Saccharomyces cerevisiae S288C: one gene and its partner. The gene in region 1 interacts genetically with each later gene. Each region holds a gene or a part of one and is shown on either strand. Other genes may lie near its edges.

The links.
Region 2: mutations in YHR212W-A (region 1) and GIP2 together harm fitness less than expected from each alone (positive genetic interaction), as found in Saccharomyces cerevisiae (one large-scale study listed by BioGRID).

What each region holds. Positions count from the first base shown.
Region 1 is NC_001140.6:536,781-539,469, forward strand, and holds YHR212W-A (uncharacterized protein), read left to right. Parts: upstream 1-1,961; coding exon 1,962-2,165; downstream 2,166-2,689. Other genes in the region: YHR213W (uncharacterized protein), read left to right, coding at 2,371-2,689.
Region 2 is NC_001137.3:261,990-265,754, reverse strand, and holds GIP2 (Gip2p), read left to right. Parts: upstream 1-2,056; coding exon 2,057-3,703; downstream 3,704-3,765. Other genes in the region: HIS1 (ATP phosphoribosyltransferase), read left to right, coding at 1-863.

The DNA of each region.
Region 1 (2,689 bases):
GAGAAAATGTAGACATTTTAAGAAAAGTACCGGAAATAAAGCACATGTAAAGCATTGAGCTCTGTACTCTATAAAAATTAGCTGCATTCAAACAACAATGTTTGAAATTTTTGCAAAAGTTATTGAAAAAGATTGCTGTTTTCAGCCTTGTTCAGATCATGTCTCAAAAATGAGAAACTGGAACTCTCATAATCAGTACCTCGTATTTTTTTTTCCTTATAGTTTCGTTATTAAAAATTTTTTTGCTGCTAATTTAAGTACGCTTTTGGTCATAAATGCTACCCACCAGTTGAATTATTGACATGATTAAAATACATTTCAGAACTTTACGGATTAAAAACTTTAAAGAACCTTTCAATCCATGTTGCTGGAGGGCCATGAATCCACGAATTACAGCAAAAGAAGACAGTAACTACTTAGGGTTCAATAATTACTTGCATAAACACACACTAACAACCAAATCGTACTAAAATTTGCAATTAACAAAACTCCATCATATCACGCTGAATTATGTAGGGCTTCTTAATGCAATAGGTTGCCTGAATTTTGCTTACTCGTGCTGCCGGGAACACTTAGCAGTTGGGAGGCCGTTTCTCCCATATATTTCATAATTTTCTGTCCTTCTTAGAGTAGGATGCTGAAAATCAAAAGAAGACCGTCAATAGGACCAGATTTTGTGGGTCAATTTTGGGCCAGACACATGATACCCTAGGAAGTTTAACGGTATACAACTCAAGGACGAGGAGTATTCGGAAACTACCGGTTTTTAACAAGCTGCAAATTTCCAGTAGCTGTTTTGGTTGCGACTACGGATAAAAATTCATACTTTAGGAAGTGAAGCAAGATAAAAAATCATGCTGCATCCTAATTCGTGAAGTTTGTTAGGAATATTATTGTAAACAAGGAACCGTTTCAGTAAACTTGCTCTCTACTCTTCTAAGCTGTAATTTAAAAAAAGCGATAAAACAATGATTTTGATTATCTGCAACTTCTGGAAACTCGAGATACTACGCTAGACGAGATACCTATTAATTGTTTTCCTAAAAAATCAGGAACAGTTCCTGGCAGCTTTCGGCTCCTTCTTGTTCTGGAAAGGATCTTCAAATCCGCTTCCACGTAGCAGTCCTCGCTACGACTTCTTCTGAAGTATTTTGATTTTTGGCTGCATTTACCTTTTATTGCCGAAAATCTTATTTTCCAAGAAAAAAGCTTATTTTGCATTAAGTTTAAAAAATTTCTTCTTTCCCGTAGATTGACTTGCAGCGTCAAAATTCCGGAGGCCTCACGAGATTTTTTGACATCGGTTTTTGACATCTCTTTTTCCTTCCTTTTTCTTTCTTTTCCTGCGCACGCCGATAAAGAAGTAGTACAACAGACAACGTCAAAATGATCCTCTTGTGATGAAGCAAAAGAGGAAGAGTATACTCCTTTTCCGCTTGTACAAATATTTTTTTTGATAATAAAATTTGGCACTTCAGAGCTTATCGTATCTTCTCCCGGAGTTCCTCAAGACTTATACTTCAGCCCGTTTAGGAATGCATAAAAGCAAATAGGATTCGTTACAACTGCTGCAGGACTCTTTAGGACTGCATCAAGGTAAGCCTCGCTGCACCTAAACGCAAAATGTGGTTGTAACCTTTTTAATTTTTTTCTTGAACTTGTTGAGTCGTAATAAATCGTTTCTGGGAAGTGGAAGGTAATAATGTAATGGAATCGGCGTTACTCGCATGTGCAGATATCAGCGACAAAAAGTGTTGTAGGGACGTTTCGATACCAAAATTTCCTAAATACAGCGCAGGAACATCACTACGCTAAACAAATCGTAGCGCATACATCTGATCGAAAAAAGACAGTTCCCAAAACAATGACATATGAAGAGACCAGCATCAAAATTTTCATCATTAACAGCATGGCTAAAAGTTATTGTTTAATATACCCATACCTGATTGACGAACCAAGAAATGCCTTATCACTATTTATTTTTGGCACTCTTCACCTACCTGGCCACGTCCAATGTTGTTTCAGGAAGTACACAAGCATGCCTGCCAGTGGGCCCGAGGAAAAATGGGATGAATGTCAACTTTTATAAATACTCATTACTGGATTCAACAACGTATTCCTACCCGCAATATATGACTTCTGGATATGCCTCGAATTGGAATTAGGTTCCGTTGGCGGACAGACGGATTTCTCAATTGACTACGATCTTTCTTGTGTTATCTCTTCAGGAACTTTTAAATGTGCTCAATCAGATGCTTATGGAAACTGGGGATGCAGAGGTCATAGTGAATGTTCAAAATAGCCAAGAAAGACCTATTGGAGTACTGATTTACTTGGTTTCTTACTATCCCAAAAAACGCTACTCTAGAAATGACAGGTTACTTTTTACCACCACAAACAAGTTCTTACACGTTCAGGTTTGCTAAGGTCGATGACTCTGCAATTCTATCAGTCGGTGGTAACGTTGCGTTCGAATGTTGTGCACAAGAACAACCTCCAATTACATCGACGGATTTTACAATCAATGGTATTAAGCCATGGCAAGGAAGTTTGCCTGATAACATCGGAGGGACTGTCTACATGTATGCAGGCTACTATTATCCGCTGAAGGTTGTTTACTCCAATGCCGTTTCCTGGGGCACGCTTCCAATTAGCGTGGAATTGCCTGATGGTACTACTGTTAGTGATG
Region 2 (3,765 bases), on another chromosome or scaffold:
TACTGTTTGCAATCCCAAAGAAAGGTCGTTTATATTCTAAAAGTGTTTCTATTTTGAATGGTGCTGATATTACCTTTCACCGCTCTCAAAGATTAGACATTGCACTAAGCACAAGCTTACCTGTAGCGTTGGTCTTTCTGCCCGCTGCAGATATTCCAACTTTTGTTGGTGAAGGTAAATGTGATCTTGGTATAACTGGTGTTGACCAAGTTCGTGAATCTAACGTCGACGTAGACTTAGCAATCGATTTGCAATTTGGTAACTGTAAATTGCAGGTACAAGTCCCCGTAAATGGCGAGTATAAAAAGCCAGAACAGTTAATTGGCAAAACCATTGTTACCAGTTTCGTGAAACTTGCTGAAAAATACTTTGCCGATTTGGAAGGTACTACTGTTGAAAAAATGACCACAAGGATAAAGTTTGTCAGTGGTTCCGTGGAGGCATCATGTGCTCTGGGAATTGGTGATGCTATTGTAGATCTTGTAGAGAGTGGTGAGACAATGAGGGCAGCAGGTTTAGTTGATATTGCCACCGTCCTAAGCACAAGTGCCTACCTAATAGAATCAAAGAACCCAAAGAGCGATAAGAGTTTGATTGCTACTATCAAATCAAGAATTGAAGGTGTCATGACCGCTCAAAGGTTCGTTTCATGTATTTATAACGCACCTGAAGACAAGCTGCCTGAACTGTTGAAGGTGACGCCTGGCCGTAGAGCACCAACCATTTCCAAAATTGACGATGAAGGATGGGTTGCTGTTAGTTCCATGATTGAGAGAAAAACGAAGGGTGTTGTTTTAGATGAATTGAAAAGACTCGGCGCATCTGATATCATGGTTTTCGAAATTTCTAATTGTCGTGTATAAGATAGAACAGAAAAAGGGAAGCCAAATCCCGATTAATTTTGTATTTTTTATAGGCAATAATTTGATAGAGTTCTATCTTATTCTAAGTTACCCCTCATGACTTCCCAAGTGTGTTTTGAGGTTATCTCTGTGAATATTTTTTCTTTTTTTTTGCTACTTCCCCAGGAAGTTAAATCTTCGTAGCATATTTGTCAGCTTTACTACCGTCTTCATGCTCATGAAACCTTCTTCTTCAACCCCCTTCATTTCTCCAATTTTCGAAAACTGGAGCTACCCATAAATATTCGGAGTTTTGTAGGTATTTTTATTTTGGAGAAAACCTGTACAAACTCTCCCCAGGGAGCATAGATTGGGGATCGTAACGCATAAAGCTGTCTAGAATGCATTTTTCCATGCTACGTCGATTTTTTGCCCGGAAGAGGCTGACGTAGCGCTGGAAGGTACCGACAACTATGCCTATTGTGGAGATGGGCGGCAAACTCCTGTCGCAGAGTGGGGGCGGGGAAAGGTTCTTTTTGCCGTGGAATGAAGCGCATAAAAGAAAAACAGTATGCCATATTAAGTCTTTTTAAGGGGAAAGGGGCTGCTACCATGAGGTCTTTTACCAAAAATGTGTATCAGCTACGCTTCTCAATGAAGGGGCCAAGAAGTTCGTTCTATCCAACAGGAAATATTTCGATATTGCAACGGTCTTTCTATATCTTGCATATTCTTCTTCAGGTTGAGTTCCTTTATATATACTGCATTGCGTAATAAGCAACACAGGGCCCATCCGTTCAACAGAAGAAAACTAAAGCTTTTCAAACATAGCCTTTCCAGTTCAGTGCATATTTATAGAAGGTAAACCTGCATACAATACGGTTAAAACAATAGGAACGAAAAGAAAGCTAGACGGGAAAGCAGTTACTAAAGGCAGGGTTGACGGGACGTTTAAAGAGAGAAGTCTGGTTTATAAAACCTTTTAGTAGTAAAAAAGGAAAAGAAACAAGGAAGGTTGGCATTCTGTTTGATTGAGGAGAAAGGAACCACATTGGACTTTTTTTTTTCTTTCTGTAAGGTATAGTTTTTAGTAGGCTGAACATCAAAAAGATCTCCGTTGTACTCAGAAACAAGTTTAATAGGAACGGGTACAGATATCTTGTCAAAATTTTATTCTTACAGCCCAAGTTTATTAGGATTTCATCAACGCAACAATGTATATAAAGGCAGAACAGAAACCCCAACAGTTTGAGAGGAAGAATGAAAAACTAGACAGAAATAAAAACCAGCAGCTACCAGATCTTGAAACAGATTTCAAGGGTTACAGAGTGAATTCGGACCTATACAACAAAGAACGAGATGGAAGTACGGAAGAGACTTTAAACTCTTTGAAGTTTTTACATAAACCTCAGAGAGTAACTCAAATGAGAGCGAACAGGTTCCCAGAGGAAGAAGTGCAAAGAAACACTGATTTAAACAAAAGAATTTTCTCCGCAGGGAATGATGAAAACGTTGATAATGAGAGCGGCTGGTCAAAAATTGCCGCTGCCAAGAATCACACTTCCGTAGAATCATTAAATGGCAGTACGAGACCCCCATTCAAAATAGAGCTGCCTCCCCTTTCCCCCAAATCCACCGTACCAAAATCTTTTCAAGCAGAATATCCCGAAGCTAAGTCACCTGGCAATGATATGAATTTTGAATATGATGAAGAAATTCTAATTCCATTTGCGCCACCTGTATATAAAAAGTCAGGTGAACTATTGAAGAGCTCATTGAAGAGAAGATCAAAATCATTACCTACAACCCCAGGTATAAGGAGCGGGAATGGTGTCCAAGCAAGAGACGGTAGTCCGATGTTGATTAGGAGTAAGAGTGTTCACTTTGATCAGGCGGCACCTGTAAAATATTTTGCTGAGGATGAAAGCCCTATAAACGTTAATAAAACTGAACAACACGATAATTGTCTAAGCTTTAAGCATAAGCCAGTGAATTTAATGGTGGACCCGGAAGAAGAGACAAAAATGCTATCATCTGGATTAGAAACGACATCCATAGATGATGACTTGACGACAGTTGCGCCAAAAGGCTTCGCACATCCTGCTAAAATTTCGAATCCAAACAATGGTAAAGGCACCAACAATACAAAATTAAGAAAAAGTAAAAGATTTCAGAACCTCCTAAAGAACAGGACCGACATGCCACCATCAAAATCAAATAAAAAATTCGTTAATGGTGGCGGTGCTCATGAAATTTCAGATCGTAATTCAAAAAATTACCATGTTGTTGGATTATACAGCAAGAACTTCCCCATTTTAAGCAACAAGAATCCTAAAAGTTTAAAGCTGAACATTTTTATCAATTTATCACAAAATAAGAAAGTTTTTCTACAAGAATTGTCATTATACATCCATAGAGACAACAATTACTTTTCAAATTCCTCCTCATTTTATAATATTCCCAATAGCCACAATGGTAATGACTGTAATGGTGTGGCCAAGGGTTATAACGCTGGCTGTACAAGATTAATTGCTGGAAGGATACTAGTGAAAAACATTTTCTATGATAAAAGAGTGGTGGTACGATATACGTGGGATAGTTGGAGAACAACACATGAAGTGGAATGCGTTTACATCAGTGATGGCGATGGAATATTGCCGGGCACTAACATGGACATTTTCCACTTCATTATCGATGATGTCAGCAAAGTGGATCCTCGCGGCAAGTTAGAATTTTGCATTCATTATTCTACACGTAACGACTATGAGCGCGAAGAGTACTGGGACAACAACAACGGGAATAATTATAAGGTGGATGTTGTAATGGATGGCTTTAACGATCCCTTCGCGGCGGCAGCATGAAGGCAACCAGAAGGAAGGAGATGAAGAATGGACATAAAAAGCAAAATGACTTGCTAGATCTT